Drosophila melanogaster: one gene and its partner. The protein of the gene in region 1 interacts with the protein of each later gene in a biochemical or structural test. Each region holds a gene or a part of one and is shown in the gene's direction. Other genes may lie near its edges.

Evidence for each region.
Region 2: the proteins of Hr39 (region 1) and rig form a complex in vitro, tested with the Drosophila melanogaster proteins (one study listed by BioGRID).

Annotation. Positions count from the first base shown.
Region 1 is NT_033779.5:21,234,052-21,241,898, forward strand, and holds the start of Hr39 (hormone receptor-like in 39), read left to right. Parts: upstream 1-3,198; 5' UTR 3,199-3,353; exon of another isoform or gene 3,354-3,369; intron 3,370-4,229; 5' UTR 4,230-4,514; intron 4,515-7,847.
Region 2 is NT_033778.4:20,633,218-20,642,648, reverse strand, and holds rig (rigor mortis), read left to right. Parts: upstream 1-1,967; 5' UTR 1,968-2,067; coding exon 2,068-3,499; intron 3,500-3,557; coding exon 3,558-3,870; intron 3,871-3,927; coding exon 3,928-4,090; intron 4,091-4,152; coding exon 4,153-4,306; exon of another isoform or gene 4,307-4,331; coding exon of another isoform or gene 4,332-5,075; intron 5,076-5,134; coding exon of another isoform or gene 5,135-5,484; intron 5,485-5,540; coding exon of another isoform or gene 5,541-6,177; exon of another isoform or gene 6,178-6,257; intron 6,258-6,576; coding exon 6,577-7,469; intron 7,470-7,526; coding exon 7,527-7,692; intron 7,693-7,751; coding exon 7,752-7,902; intron 7,903-7,960; coding exon 7,961-8,218; intron 8,219-8,280; coding exon 8,281-8,458; 3' UTR 8,459-8,773; downstream 8,774-9,431. Other genes in the region: Tcs1 (Threonyl-carbamoyl synthesis 1), read left to right, coding at 1-72; CG11110 (uncharacterized protein), read right to left, coding at 232-653, 719-812; maf-S, read right to left, coding at 1,103-1,483, 1,531-1,563; CG13436 (uncharacterized protein), read right to left, coding at 4,332-5,075, 5,135-5,484, 5,541-6,177. UniProt on the Drosophila melanogaster protein: Component of the survival motor neuron (SMN) complex that catalyzes the assembly of small nuclear ribonucleoproteins (snRNPs), the building blocks of the spliceosome, and thereby plays an important role in the splicing of cellular pre-mRNAs.

The DNA of each region.
Region 1 (7,847 bases):
AATACATGATTAAGTCGTTAATTAATTAAACTACATTAAATTCTACTTAAAGGTTATTTGCTTAGGGTATTTTAGTTTCTTAAAGCAAAAGTTGAGATCTGTTATTTTTTTTTAAATTATTTGGACCAAGCATTCATATGGGAGCACACTTTTTATAATTAACTGACAGCTCTAACAAAGAAACCACACCCAGATGCATAGAAAAACAAGGGGAGTTTTCGATATATTGGAAAACTGTTCATGCTAATACAGTAAAATGTATTATCACAAGAAACCCAACCCGAGCAGACCAACTGCCCGGGCAGTCTTCGATGCAATTTTTTAGTGCCCAGCGCGGGGTTAAGACCGTGACAGTTCGCCGGCAGCCGCTCGTTGATATCGGGGGATTTGGACGGGTTTGGCAATGTCAATAGGGCAGCTTGGCCGCGAGACTCCGCCGACGAGCGGCCACGGGACACGCCAACACTCATTTGCATGCGAGGCAGCTGGCCACGAAGCGATTAAAGGGCCTCTGCCGGCTAATGTCAAAGGTCAACTGATATGCGTTCGCCGGTGCAGTTAGCGGAAATCAGTTTGTTTAACTATTAGCCGGTGCTAATGACCAAACTACATGCTCGACCAAGCGCTCAAGGATTACCAGCTTGGCGTTAGCCTCAGAAAACTTGTAAATACGGACACACACCTATATACGTATATACACACATATGTGGGGTTATTATTTTGAATATTAAATGGGACTTACCCCACTTATGGGTCGAGTGGAAACCACCCAAGCTGAAGCTGAATCTGATTGGGCATTATAAGGGCATTTTTGCCCAATCGTGAGACAACATTTTTCGGGACTGTGACACCTCACTGTTTTGTAAACAGCCTCTAAAGCGTTTAATAGCTATTGTCCCCTATAGTTACGAAAATATGATTCCTACATTTTGATTGATAACTGGGCTCAGAAAAGTACCCATATACTTAAACGTAACTAACTTTTAGAAATACGTACACAAAGACAACGTTCCAAAAATATTTAAACATTTTGAAACATTTTTCGCTTGCGATCGACCCTCACCCGGCGCTCTGCTTATTGATATATTACTAATCGCAGACTCGCATATGGTTTAATTTCCAATGCAAAAATGCTGCATTTGAAAGCATCTGTCACTTAAGCGAAACCTATTCATGAGGCATCGCGAATTTGCTTAGCCTACTTTAAACCACCAGTGTCATATTTTTTTGTTACAGAAAAAGAAGGAGCCGCAAATGGTAAATAAAACAGGCGTAATCCGTTTTAATAATTCCAATTTTAAAAAATTCACACAGCAACCACGATTCGAAATGAGAAACGTGGCTTGGCTTGTCTTGCACAAAAATGTATTTTCGTCGATATTTTCTGCCCGCGGTCTCACTTAATTAACCAATTAGCTAACCACATCCAAAGACATTTAAATGGAGAATACCCATATTATGCACGGCAAACATATGCCAATGTGGATCGTAGTCGATCCGAGTCAAGAATGTTTTCTTCATCTAAAAATGCGTGAAAATACAATATAACATATGGATTGAAGACTTAGCATTAGCATATATGCGCAATTTATCAATTTAAATATTACGCAATAAATAATGTAAATGCAGTGGCCGACCAAAGCTCAATATCTCTGACACTAATAAGTTGTATCTACCGAAAACTAAAGCTAAGCTTAAATGAGAGCTTTGGGGTCGTCTATTAATGTCTTTATAGGCGGCTATACACGACCAATTCCATTGTATGTCACTTGAACTTGCTTCAATATCTGATTGCCTCTGATTTCGCAACCACTCCGTAGTATACATATGTATGTACATTTATCTAGAATTCAGTAATAAAGGAGTGTTTCACAGTTTAGACTACAGACAAGTCAGTGCTATTGGGATGGACAACACCATTTAGATCAGAGCTTGTCCACCAGATACCCATCACACATACCCATTCATAGCAGTGTCAGCTTGATGGACATGGTTAGTGAAACACGAGTACTAATATGTTCTAAGGAACTCATTGCAAATCCAGTAATATTTATTAGGATGGAATTTATAAAATAACATTACAAACTAATTTAAGTTGTTTCGTTCAAAATATACACACATGTCTGACGATATATAAGAAATCGTTTATTATACCTGTTACAATTCATCCGATAAAATGTCTAACAGATATAAAATATATTCTTATTAAGCCGAGTCGATGCTCAACCTTTCTAGCTTTTATAGTTCCTGATATCTCGACGTTCATATGGACAGACGGACATGACCAGTTCGACTCCGCTATTTATCCTGATCAAGAATATATACTTAATATGGCCGGAAACGCTTCCTTCTGCCTATTACATACTTTTCAACGAATCTAGTAAACCCTATTACTCTACGAGTAACGGGTATAAAAACAATTAGCTTATGTATTAATAAGCGTGTTTCGTTTAGGATAAAACGATACGATATTACCAAACGTGGTGATTTAAATTTCCCGTGTGGAAAATCTAATCTGAGACAAAATATTCCAATTCTCTTATTTATGTGTGTTTATATTGTTTAATTTGTATTATGAGTAACAATATTTACATAATTAATACAACTGTTATTTAATTATAGAACAAATTGAAAACACTTCTTGAAGAATGTGGGTAATTAGTTATTTCCTAGAGGTCATCTAAAACTGTTATTATAAATTATCGACTACTTTGAAACAATTTGAACTAAGTATTATCATAGACTTAAACCACTAACAAAAGTTGATCGCTTTTATCAGTCTGGAATTAAATTATTTTACAAGTGGGCTCCATAATAGCAATCTACTATCGATAAAGTGCGAACGAATTCGAACTATTCTTTCCCGGTTAACGAATACAAAAAACTCGAATAGCGTCGGCGTATTTTCTCTGGATGAAAATTTTTTGTGAAACTTCCTATTTGATCTGACTTCGGACTATCAGGAAAAAGTAAAAAGGTTTATTGGTAAATGAGCGACAATTTAAAAAATAATGAAAATATAAAAGACCATTACGTCGTAAGACCACCGTTCCAAATTCACTAGTAACCCACCGTCGCTGCCTTGACGTATTTTGTCCCGCTATCAGATCTGTGTTCGTAAAGTGGCAGTGTGCAGCAACAGCTCGCAGAAAGGTGGCAACGCTCGCTAACAGACCGAGAGCTCCACTAACAAAACAAACATTTTGCTACTTCGTCGCAGGCGGGACTGTGTTGCGTCGTGTGATCGCTAGAGCGGTTGTGGAATCGGATTCGAGCGCAAAACACCGTTCATGCTGTGAGCGAAAAAGAGTGGTAGCGCCTACAGTGGCATATGTAGTTAAATCCGTGAATAAGTGAATAAGAATATATGTATGTACTTAATTCGAAAACCTTTTCGCCGTCAGCACAACGGGTGAACGAGAGAGCGGAAGTGGAGTTTTTTGTGGCGGGTCGTCTCGCTCGCACCGCAAAGGTCGTCCGTGGCTGCGTGTATGGGTGTGTGGAAGAGGCGTCGAGGTGAATGTGGATTTCTAACCACACCAGCATTGCAAAGACATTGATTGATATTTAAAGCTGCAGCAGCGAACCAAAGCAAATCCTAATTTCGGCAAAGTTTAAGAATAACGAGTGACTGGGGCGCGCGCAATAAGATAAAATTGAAGGTTATTCTGTGTGCGTGTGAGTGACCCGTTTACCAGTGTGTGTGTGCGAGCGTTCCATTGTAAACAAAAAAGCAAGTGTTGTGAGCGGAGAGAAGAAAGGGAAAGAGAGAAAGAGCGAACAGACTGGCGAGAGAAAAAAGAGATTGCGCACGAAGAAAGCAGCGCACAAAGCGAACGCTGAAAATGTCAATAAACTCTGCGAAAGGTGAGGAAAACGCAACAAGAGCGCCGCAGTCGTGTAAAATAAAACCCAAGACTCAAAGAAAGCAGTAGAAAGAGGCAAGTGCAAGAGCAGAACTTGTGCGTGTGAGTGCTGGTGTAGTGTGTGTGGGAGAGAAGAGTTCGAGTGTTTGTTCTGATTGGACAGAGTGTGCAGAAAAGTTTTTCTGGTTTCGATTCGCTTGCAACAGTTTCCGCGTTTTCAGCTCCAACAAGTTTCGTCGATTTTTCGCGTCTGCATTTTGTTTATTTTATTGTGAATTCGTTGACTTGCTTGCTCGCTCGTTAACCCATACAAGTGCGCCCGCCGCGACGCTGGATGAGTAATTTACCGTTATTAATTCACAGGTGAAAAATCCGATATTTGTCGTGCAATAATTTCCTCGATTGGCATCAAGTGGCTTCCAGTCGGGTACATATTGCACAAGAAATGTTATACGCATAATGTGCACGCAAATTAAACGAATTCTCTATGAAAATGTGACTAGAATGTGAGTCGAACAAAACGAGTAAAACGTGAAATCCCAACTGGCTTTTGGGTAACAAATCTTATCAACACAGCAACGGAAATACATTAAAATCTTGATAGACTGAGAAAGGGACAATTGGAATACTTTTAGTTATTTTTAAATGGTAAGATAATCTCCTTTCCTTAAAAACAAAATGTTCCCATAATTTTTTAGGTATTTTAAAATGGTAAGATGATCTCATTTCCTTAAAAACAAAATGTTCCCATAATTGATGTCCATGATGTCCATCCCATAACTTGATGTGATTTCAAAAGGAACATCGTGAAAACTGGGCGAATCGTATAAACCATATGCTTTCATTTCATTTGTATTTAAGGACAACAATATAGGGGCTGTAAAAATTACCATTTTTTAAGTGATTTAATATTCCTTTGTCCTTTAAATTTAAAGATCCAAGAGGCCCAATTCAAGCGCTATATTTTCTTATCCCCTTCCACAGAGTCAAAGTAGGCTTTTCGAATCCCTGAAATCAAAACAAAATTATTAACACATCGGGAAGTCAGTGTCGTCTGGCGGACTGTCTGGCCGGGCGACTCCCAATTCATAAGCAGTGAAATGTAACGGCGCCGTTGAGTACTTGAACTACTTTCATGTGGCAGAGGCTTTATGACCCGAACTTGGCTGGCTCATTACATTGACATTCAACTCTACCGAGCTCTGAAAGCGCAAAAAGGACGCCATAAAGGCTTTAATTAAACATGTGTTATGTTCGGTTCTAGAAAACTTAAAGCTTTCCGAATTGACTCTGTATAGATTCGCTTGTCTTTATTGTTCGATCATCGTTACACGTTATATTTTTCTCGGTGCAGCCGCCGGAAATTGTTTCGACAACGAAACAGAGACGGTCTCGATCAGGGAGAATAAGAGGGTGGGAAGGCACTGCATGTCTGAATAGTACGGCCAAGGCACGTTTTGAACTCTACCTCTACCACACATTTCTTGGGCCAAGTCTTTAGCTCTTTCTGCTTTCGCGTGGTGCTTGACCCAGAAAAATCGAAGAATCGCCAATTCTGCGGCTGACAACGCTGCTGATGAGGCTGCGGCTGGGCCAAGTCTTGTGCTTTCGAGGAGCCGCAGAAGGGGCTGTCTCATAAACCATTTTAAATGTCGGGCTCATTATTATTTTGACTGCGTCGCTTGCGGTTTTTGTGTCTATCAGCCGTTCTTACCGTGCCTTCTTACCGTTCAACTCTTCTCATTTCGTAAGCTGGGATTCAGTCTGTCCGAAGGTTGACCGCGAGTTTGGAAGTTGATTGGCTCCGGATTATACATTGCGGACGCTGGTTTATGTTCTTGAACTCCTTTTAAATGTGCGCGGCCTCAAAGGTTAATTTACAGCTTTCGGGGTCATAACTCTGGCTAAAGGCGGTCGATTCTGCCGTCGAGACGCGGTTACAAGAACTGGCAACTGATGTAGGGATTTGCCCATGCTTACAAACGCAATGAGTGGAAGAAGGCAATAAATTATCGGGCTTGAGTGGTAAGCCTGGTCTCCAATTCTGCAAAAAAAAATTTTGCTTCTGGTAACTCTTTTTGTGCATGCAGATATTTATATTAACCCGACCCATACGCCTTAATATCTGTAACTTGTAAAGTCTTTGAGATTTGCCCATTCGGTGATGTATTTCTCGTTCGTCAGTTGGCTGCCAGCTGTTAACCGGTTTTCGAATATGCCTTCGGGTGTTCCAACCGCCTTGATACCCACTTCGGCCATCCGTGCCTCTCCCTCGGCAGTGCACCACCCACTCTTGCAATACATAAGTTGATACATGCTGTTTCTCTCCCTGGCTTTGACTCTGGCTGCTAATTAGCAGTTAACAATTGCAGCATTGACCTCCTCACCACAATTCTTCTCCTATTCTAGCAGGCAAACTGCGAAAGTAGCGAGAACGGGTTTGCTTTGTTCCATTGTCTATGGTAAAAAATACAACTGAAAGATACAACATGGCAGCAGGTTTACCTTGTTGTAACCTCGCCAAGAACTCCGGGGAAAAAAAGCTTGAAAAAATATATGCATTCCACTCTTTCTAAACCGAAGAGAACAAGACAACACACAAATATAATTGCTTGTCGTTTTTACAATTTACAATTTTAATAATTATTTAGTAGTTATTCAATTAACTACCGGCAACAAGGTTCGGTTTGGAGTGCATGCATAGGTTTTTAACTATGTGATGTCTTGAGTGAAATGTGAATTGGTATTAAAAACCTACTAGAATTACTATTAAAACCTATTGGACGTCCCGAATTGGCCTTATTGAAGTTTCTTGATAATAAGCTACATAATGAAGTGGGGGTAGTGAGACGCGGGTGGCTGGATGCATTCGTTTTTACTTGCTGCTTTTAGACATTTGCTGCAGTTGCCTGTCGTTGCTGTTGCCTTTTCGTTGTTATTGTGCCATTTTGTTTGATTTTTGCAACTGGCAACTTTTTCGATTGCTGCAACTGTGCAGCCGTTGGTTCGCAAACCGTTGTGTGTATGCAGCCTTTGTCGTTTTTGGTTTGTCTATACATACATGTCTATATAAACATGATCACTTTGGCCGATTTCTTGTCTTAACTCGCCACTTTTCAGCAGGCGGTGGAAGGTGAAGCGGGGACAAGAAAAAAGAGGAGAAACATGTTGCCTAAATGTTGCTGCTGCTGCGGTTGCATTTGCAGCAACCCACTGTTGTTCATGATTGTGCAACTATTGGCAGCATTTTCGGACTGCTGTTGAACTTTTGTAGCCAACCGAAAAAGAATGTTACCTCGTTGATAAGTTTTAAATTGCTTATCAATCATATTAATCTATATTACCTGGAATTTGTGAGGCCTTGGATAAGAACATCAGGAAAATTGTATTAATAATCGCTTTTTTTTCGTAAACTGTGCATTGAAAATTTGCGTTTATCAAGCACGAATGGCACAAACAGAAATTCTGATTCTCAAATAAATTAATGTAACAAAAAGACTTTTCATCGAATCGAATATTATATACCCGTTACTCAGCTAAAAGGATTGCGAAAGAAATGGAATTACCACCTCGGCTCGTGACTCTCGAACGTCATTCACTCCTAAATCCTTAATTATATTATTTAATTCAAATATTTATGTATAGACATGCGCACTATGACTTAGATTTCATCCTATTCCAACAAAAAAGTGTAATTAAACATAAAAAAAGGGAATGCTATAGTCAAGTTCCATGACTATCATCAGATACCTGTTACTCTAGTGGAAATGCGGAAATGGAAATTGCACAATTTTTCTGGGTTATCGATAGATATTAGGGAATAAAATGAGAACAAATTGCGTGACCTTTGGTTAGGTGTAAGAAGGGGCGTGGTTCTAGTGTTTTGGTATACCGATAGAAATTGACAACTCAAACAATTAAACGAAGAAAATTCAAAACATTTTTCAAGTGTGGGCGTGACAGTTTGTGGGCGTGTAAACA
Region 2 (9,431 bases), on another chromosome or scaffold:
GCCGGCGTGGCTCTCAAGCCGACACTCAGCCTCATGGAGGAGTTCGGCATTCGGGAGCTAAAAATGATGTAGTATAAGAGCTATTCCTTTGGCTTTAACTTTAATTTTTACTTTGGAACATCCTACTTTGCTTTGCATGCGGGAACACAACAAATTGTTTATAAAATATACGGTTCAGTATGTACACAATTGGAACTATCTTGGGCGCAGGCTCTCCGCCAGTTGGTCAGTCTAGTTGTAGTAGTTGCTGGAGTTCTTGGAGGCCTGTATGGGTCTCCGTCGCCGCGGCAGTTCGTTCTCCAGTATTCGCCAGCGTTCCGGTGGCCACACGATGGCCACTGCCCGCGCGGACATCAGGCCCAGGGCGACGGGTCCAAAGGTATTGCTGTCCATGGAGTGGCCTGTGTGATCGCCCTCCACCCAACAATGTCCTTCGGGTACGCGAACGATCTCGTGCTTGTAGCCCAGCGTGGACACGACGTCGCCCTGCAGCCCCACCACGCGCTTGATAATCTTCTGGGCGGGATCCTTGGGTGAAATGAGCGATATTATGTCGCCGCGCTCCACCTGACTGTTGTGGGTGCCCCAGCGCAGCAGGAACACATAGTCCTTTTCATCCGGCACGGGATTGAGAGCGGGCTGCATGGAGATGCCTGCAAAAAGTTGTGGATTAATTAGCGCACACTAACATGGAGCGAATAAACTCCGGACGACTCACCATCCACCCTGGCCACATAACCAACGCAGTCCAGGAAAGTGACGCCAAGTGGCAGAGCGTACAGCAAGGACTTGCCAAAGAACCGAAATGCCATGGATGAACTGGTTGGAGAGCGGAGCTATCGAGATGAATACATAACCACCAGCCTTTTGCCGAGTTCCTTGTGCGCTCCGGATCTTATGACATTCGCAGCGCAGCGCCGACACGGGTTTTGTTTATGCTAAATACAGGGTGCTTCAATAAAGGCGATGCAGAGGTTCTTGAGCAGATTACGTTTATTGAGGAAGGATATTTGCCAGCTATTGTACTTTAGTTACAGGTGTTTTTTTCCGTTTTGGGTTTATTGTAATTTTGACAGAAACAGGAATGTGACTGGGCAATCGTTCAGCAGCCCTCCAGCTCGCTGGGAATGGGTATCTCGTTCTGGATGGCGAACTGCAGCAGCGCCTTGTACTTGTTCTTCCAGTTGGACACCTCGCGGCGCACCTGCTCGTTGTCCTCGTGCATCTGCTCCAGTTCCGTCCACTCGTACGACTTCTTAGTCTCCAGCTCGTCCTTCTGTTCGATTCTCTTGATGCGGCAACTGGCTGCGTATCCGCGATTCTTTAAGGTTCTCCGGCGCTGCTTCATCCGAACGATCTCCTCGCGGTTCAGGCCACGCATCTTGAGGGTCCGATTAAGATCCCTTACCGAAATGCTCACCAAATCGTCATCGGTAATATCCGGAATTGGACATGGCGAAAGTGGTGCCTGAAAATCGCACTTCTATCAGGGTTTTCTTTCTTCTTCGCATATATCTACAAGGTACGTACCAGGGATGACTTTCTCTCGCGCTTTGCTTCCATTGTGGCCGATTGTATTTTATTTTTACGGAGACTTTTAGAATTTGCTAGATTTTTCTACCTTTTTTTTTTGCGTTGTTATTGTGTGTCTTCTTCTTCCTCTCTACCTGCTGGTTGCCATTCACAGGAAATGGATTGCATAGAGTTGGCAGATAGACAAAAAACGTCTGTGGTAAATAGCGGGTAATTTAAATATACTAAAGCTAACGTGATCCCTAGATTTTAGGCTTTGTAGCATAAGGTACTTAGTTATATTTTTAAATTATTTATATAAAGCAGATCCAGATTTTTGTTATAAATACAAGTTCGAAAATAACAAATTTATATTTTAATTATTATCAATTTTAATTAACTGTTAAGTTCCGTGCCTTCCAGGTGGCATCGCTGGCAAAGTTTAAGAAGCTGCCTAACACTAACAGCTTTACAGAAGTTTTTTCCCCGAACGACGCCAACTGTTAGCGGGAAATATTCCTTCATCCTGCAGATGCCAAGTCCTTATTGTTCGCCATGAACTCGCAGGTGATGTACCACAATGTGCCCACACCGCCGGGCAACGTATCTTTGGCGGCCGCTGCTCCCGACGGCGGTTTGCTGTACGCCGGCATTCGCTGCATCAACTACATATCCGCGCCGCCGGCAAACGGAGAGCAGCCCCAAGTGGTGACCATGTCGACGCGGATCAACATACTGGCCCTGGACGTTAGTCCCATGTGGGGCTTGGGCAACGGTGGGCCGACCAAGCCATTCGCCATTGTGGGCGACGATCTAAGCGTTCAGGTGTGGGACTGCGCATTGGGCGAAGCCGTCATCGGGCACAAGGCCCATCAGCACCAGCACGAGGCGCGGGATGTGCGCGTCGTGCACCACACTACCAACTCCGTGCTGATGAGCTACCTGGCCAATGGTAACATTCTATCCATGGACGCCAGTGATCTGGTCATCTATTGTGTGGCATCCAACACCTACTGCCGTCGCTCCACTTTCATCTCGCCCCGAAATCACCAACTCACTATGGTGCGCTGCTCGCCCTACAATGACAATTTGTTCGCTGTGGGAACGGCTATGGGTAATGTGCTGGTCTGCGATCTGCGCAAAATGAACATCGTCTACAAGTTCCACGGCCACAAAGCGCCCATATGCGGCTTAGCCTGGCGGGAGGTGCCTGCTGCCGAGGACGAAAAAACCAATAATCTGGCGTTAAGTGCTGAAGAGTGGCGAAGCCGCAATGGCGGCCAGGAGGAGAAACCCAAGACAAAGCCACCACCACTGACCAAATCGAAGGCAGCCGAATCCGACGACCCTTTCGACATATACAACTTTGATCATCTTGAGTACGAGTTCGGTGCACCTATAGCTGAACGCCGCCGCAAATCTTCAGAGGATTGTGGCGGCGAATTTGTGGGTCTAGAGAAGCCAGCTGGTGCCGCTGTCTTAGATTTCGTTGAGGCCTGCGAGAGTGTGAAAGCCGAACTCTTAGCCAGTCGCCAGGAGGATAAAACGCAGCACGTGGAGGTCACGCTGCATGACTGCGAGCCCACAAAGCCTACGGGTCCCTTAAGTGATGCCAGCACCATTAGCAACAAGAACGATGCCAGCGACTCGACCGAGGGCAGTCTGGAGGTCATCCAGTACAGCTCGTCCAGTGATGATGCCGTGATCGTCGATGGCGAGGCAGCAAAGCCCAAAAGAGAAGTATTGCATCACATCTACCACCAGGCCGAGGTACATGCTTCAGGAACACCGCAGACCAAGTCTGAGCCTCAGAGTAATCTCCAAGTTGTGCCGGCCATCAGCGCGGAGACCATCAGCTTGACATCCGTGAACAGCACCCACTTGGAAACTCTGCTCGTGTCCATTGACGGCGATGAGGTGATGATGATCTGGAATACCAATACGGGAGCGCATGCTGGCAAGAACTACAGCAAAAGCAAGACGGCGGGTAAGTGGAAAGAATCAAACCATTGAAAGCAAGCATTCAACTGGGATCTTTTCTTCAGGCAAGCTTAACAACGTCTACTGGCTGAACAACCATGTCATTGTTTCCCTGAGTCGCCATCAGTTATTCTTTTGGTCCGTGGAGTTCGAGCGCAAGATGCTACGCTACAAGATCAGCAAGGATAAATCACACAGCTGCCATTTGCAAGACATCGTGTCCTTTGCCTGTGACTCCAGCAAAGAGATGATATGGTTGTGCAGAAACAATCGCCAGATTGGAATGATGAATCCTAAAACTGGCCGGATGGCTGACTTTTACGGAACAGTGGCGTTTGGAGTGCGAGCGATGGCCGAGTGTCCAGATGATATGAACAAGTAAGCTAATAAGATAATATGCCATTCGCAAACGTTGCTAAACTGTTTTTCGTTTAGAATCGCTTTGGGTTGTTCGGATCGCCGTGTGGCCTTCTTCGATATATCGAAGCTCACCACCAGCTGCCTGCCCATCGACAGCGTTTATGTGTCCAGCAACGTCTACTGCCTGGCTTGGAGTCCAAACTGCTTGGAACTGGCCTTTGGCACCTTCGACGGAACGGTATGGCTTTGATTTCGTCTATTTTATTGGATATTGAACCTAAATATACAACTCAACAACAGGTGGGCATCCTGGATGTGGAGCGCATGAAAGTAAAGACACACTTACGGACGCCGCACAAAAAAGAAGTCTACTCGCTTGTGTGGCAGGACCACTTTATATACTTTATTGTGAATCGTGTTCTAGGTTTCTTTGATTTAAGAAAATCGAAAATCGGTGAGTATATGTTCTTAGCCGTTCTCTACTTATGTTGCCGACAGTTGTAGGTTTGATTCTGTGCGTTGCGCCTTCCGTAACTAATGTTGGTCTGCGCGTCGTTGGTCTGCTTCTTACGTATATTGGCCAAGTGGATTGTCTCCCGATGATAATCCCACGCATTCCATGTTACGTTTATCCAGTTTGCTGGCGTTAGGTCGTTGGTGACGACCATTTCGGTTTGACACTCAAAATCTGTCTGCTTTGGTGGCTCAACTACCAGATTCTGCAGTTCCTGCTCTATTAGCGCATCGTCCAATTTGAACAGCAGAGCCAGGTTCGCATTGTTGAAAACCACTTTTCTAAAGGCGGCTATGAAAGGCTCAAATCGCAGCTCCGCGAATCGAGCGTATCTTGGGTCCCGGAAACCAAATGTAATGTCCACATTGGAGCACAGCTTTCTGGTCACCTGGGCCGGCATAAGCAGGCCGTTGGTAATGGTCATGGCTAGAGAGCAAAACTCCTTTATATCTGCCTTGTTGAGCTTGCAAAAGTTGCCATCGGTCTGCAACTCCTTCACGGCATCCATGCGTTCCTCAAAGCTGCAGACCTTGGGCTTCTTTATCCGCTTATGAAGCGCCTGCAGCTCGGCAATCGTAGCCTTTGTCAGGGTCATCAAGTCGTCGACGACCAATGCCTCCACCTGCTCCCTCAGCTTGTTTAACTCAACAATGTGGTTCAGGTAGTTGTTCAGATTGCCCCACACCTGAGAGAGGTACACAAAGTGCGGCTGAAAGCGGGAAACGAAATTGGAGAAATTCTCATCTTTTAAATGAATACATCACTTACAAATATAAGCTCCGAATCAATAGCCGTGCGCATGGATAGGGTATCATCAATCTTGCAGATCACGCATTGATATCGCTTATGCTCCACTTCAATTAGGTACACTGTCTTCTGGTAATGTTCGTTCAGAGTCGTCAGACAGCGATGGAGCATAAAGTAGGTCGCCGCAAACTGGTTAAGCCGATCCAAATGTTCGAGGGGCACGCGGTAGGTCAAGGTCTCGTCCTTATGATCTATGTTTATGAGGTCATCCAGTGCCGCCTGGCAAGTGGACTGCATCTTGACCGCCCTTCCCATACTGGCTGCAAATGCGGCTTCCGTGTTCTTCTGGGCCATTTCCAGATCATCGACCACTAAGAAGTATACAGCAGATATGAAATATGAAATGGTTTGCCCTATATGCACATACCGCTTCTAACATTCTCCCGATCTCCATCGGGGCCATCGTTGTTATAGATCACAATGCCGCCCACGGTCGCCGACAAGCGTTGAAGATACTCTAGCCGATGGTACTTCTTCTTCAGGACATAATTCTGTAGGTCACTTCGACCGATGACGCTGTTGAGAGCCTGGGCAGTCAGCTTAAGCAGAACATGATTCTTGGGCGAGCCCAGACTGTAGCAGGCCACTATGAAGACCTGCATCTTTGCGAAGAGCTGGTCCAACTGCACTTTACTGCAAGTCTCGGGATACTGAAGGATATCCTTGATTAGCAGCTGCAGTTCGGTTTGGAACTTTTCCTCGTACTTCTTCTTGACGTATTCAAGGTCTATGGTTACTCCCTTTTTCATTACCCAAGCCATCTTCATGTTGGCCATAGTGCAATCTTTCGAATTGACATAGCTATCCACAATTGTATTCACGAAACCCTCAATGGCACAGGCGGTTGGCTTATTGAGGTCGTACTTCAGGAGACCTTTGCGCCGATCTCTTGCCAGCAAATGAACCATGTAGATGACAAACTCCTTGTCGACCCTGAGATCCAACTGTTTGAAGCGCTTCATAATACGATGACCAATGCTCACTAGAGTTTTGTGTCGCGGCATTTTGGTAAACAGAACAATTTAACCTATTTCGATGAAAGGAAATGTGTAATGTGGTTTGCTTGCTAAGTTTTTGATACGTGTGATATTTGTTGCCCTTGGCTACAGTTTAATCGATTTCATTTTCTTCAAGTAGCACAAATTACTCATGCCATCGAGCTTTTGTTATTCGAGACTTTTAGGCTTGTTTTAATTAATTGTTTCCCACAAATCATTAAAATGATCGCACAATTAGGTGCGGACCTAAAAGACAACAATGGACTTAAAACAAAGAGTTTTTCGTCATTCTGACTAGATTTAATTGTGTTTTAAGTTAATGGATGTATGTATTACTTAAAGGTAAAGCTAGTCAAAGATACATATAAAGTTAATTTAAAATATGCCATTATTATTTTCTTACAGAGCCCACAATTGTGAACTGCATTTCTCGACCCAGTTACCTCAGCATCCGCGATTCTTTCCTTTTTGTTGGCACCGATGATGGACTGCTGCAGATCCATGAGCGCGATTCGGGAATGGAGAAGTCGTGGTCTCCATTTATCCGCCAATCCGCTTTGTTTGCTCGTTATGTGACCGATATCGCCTGGTGCCCGCTGGACAGCAATAAGTTTGCAGTGTCGGGCAACGATAGGTCCGTGTACGTGATGGAGTTTCAGCCCACGGAGCGCAATTGGAAAACGCTTCACACATTTACGGCAAACACAGAGAAGGCGTCGATTACCTCGATGAGATGGAGTCATACCCAGAAGCACTTGCTGCTCACCTTTCATATCGAGGGAAAGGTGTGCCTGTGGAACTGCAATGCGCCAGAGAAGCCACCGCTAACCATCACCTACCACTGCCCCATGTGGTGTGGAATGTTTTTGCCCACCAACGAGAACATCATTATGTGCTCGGGAAAAGCTCTCTCCGTGGAGCTAATTGACATTAAGGACGCGCTGGAAGGCGATGAGAAAAGCATCTGTCCCAAGGTGGATGCTCTGTTAAATGTTAAGTGGGCTAGCAAATCCCTGACCCAGCCATACGCTCCAGTTCTCACAGCGGCTGAAAAGAAACGGCAGCGCCGGGATCAACGCAAAGCAGCGGCTAAGCTCGAAGTTGACGTAGCTAACAAGGATCAAAAGAAAATTCAGGAGTCAGTTACTGCAGTTATTGATAATCCAACCAACGATAAATGTACGCAAGAAACTCCTGTTGAAGAGATGTTGGAAGCGCTTAGCTTGGACAAGGAGCAAAATAATAGAAGTGCCAAAGAATGCCCAAAGTGTAAAGAGCAGTCACCTGACAGTTTCACAGTAAGTTATCCATGTGCTCTTGATTCGACTGAAACCCAATAACATATTTACCAACAGCATAGCCGCACCTGTCTTTACCTTACCCAGAAGGAGCTCAACAAAAGTGCCCTTGAGAAGCTGGCCATTGTTCTTACAGAAGACTCTGCCAAGATCGACAAGTCGGTGCTCATATCGAAGCTGTTCAGCTCAAAAGTGATGGCCAAGGAGCTCATTGCAACCGAGTGTAATTTCACTAACTGACTTATAGTATTTAAAATGCTAACGATAAATGTAATATTTCAGTGACCAATCTGAAGCACTCAAACACCAAAGACATAGCTCCACTTTGCCTGGCCATGTCCACGTTCAAATTACGCGAGGAGCTGGAGCAGCATATAGCCAACAAGACGCTTACCGAACGCCATGTTTCGCTGGCTCCCTCCGTTTCTTTTACGTAAGTTTCTACGTTTTTGTTGTAAATCGGTTTTGTCTTTAGTCTATATTTCTTGCAGACTTTGGCAGGACTGCTGTCGCGCTTATGCCAAGCAGATGGAGGAAAAAGGCTACATCATGCACGCAGCTACGTATCTTTTTAGTCAAGGAATGCAATCGGAAGCCATCAAACTGTTCCTGGCCAATGAATACTATAAGGAGGCCCTTGTACATGCGCGTATTTGCTTGCCAGCAACGGATCCCCTGATCAAGACCGTAATTAACAATTGGCTCGAGCATCTGGAGGGGACGGGTAACTTTGCAGCAGCAGCTCTGATGTAAGTGACTAAAACTAAACTATAGACAAATGTTTAAGCATCCTTTCTGAATCACTTAACAGCTGCGTTCTGGACAATGAGATGCTGCGTGGATACTCCTATCTAAGAAAATACCGCAACTGCACTCCGGAAATTGCCGATCTTATGGACCAAATCAAACGGATTGGCCAGCTGGGCGGCGTTCTAGATGGTTGTGCTCCCAATGAGCCGATCCACAATGGATCTACTGCCGAGCATTAAGCCTTAAATCAACATTTTTGTAAGCGTACTTTTAGCTGAAACTGGCTGTACTAGTGTAACTCATTTGAAATCCCCCGATACAATCATAAAGCTATTATCTATTAGTTAGGCATTTACAAATGTTTTCCATTAATTTGAATAGCCAGAAACTGTGTGGAATTGAAACCGATTTGAGTCGCCTTTGCTATACTTTTATTTTAATTTAATTTACCCTTAAGAAAAGATGAATACAAGATACATATATCAATGGCACAATAGCTAGTAAAACAAACACACACAAATTGAATTTCGAATAAACGAAAAAGCGAGAAAAAGAAACCGCAGCTCCAGTGGGCTTTAATTAGAACAAGCAGCTGTTCCGGCGGCCAGAAACCATCAGTTATCAGGCGTAAAAGCTGGCCCAAACAAAAGTATGACCGTTAGGCCCCATTTTCGTCTGGGCTTTGGCATCACATTATGCAAATGACCGGGTTCCCCAGCCCGCCGACAGCATCACTGCCGCCAGTTGGGAATTAAGTTTTAATTGTTGGAACAAGAGTCAGGGCGACTGAACTTGCTGCACAACAGCAGCAGCAGCGAAAACAAACGAAACCAACAGAAAAATGTAAATCAACAAAACGACACAGGCCAGAGCAAAACTCTAGAGCGCTAGAGCTGGCAAACAAAACTTCGGGCTGTTGTGCTCTTCAGTTGCCAAACAGCCGCCGTAGCCGACGCAGTGGTCGCAGAGTCGTTCGGCGAACCAAGTTCGTTTCCTCAGTCTTTCGAATTTCACTTTTAACCGTTTGCAAGCGCGCCAAGTTGAAGCGTACGCGTACCGTTAGCGCGGCACGTTACGAAGTGAGTGATCCACACACATATATCGACCATTCTCACGTCCGTCAACTCTGACTCTGACTTGACCTGGTGCTGGTGGCCAAACCGTTGTACAATTAAATAACAATCAAATTATAATTGCATGCAAGCACATTTC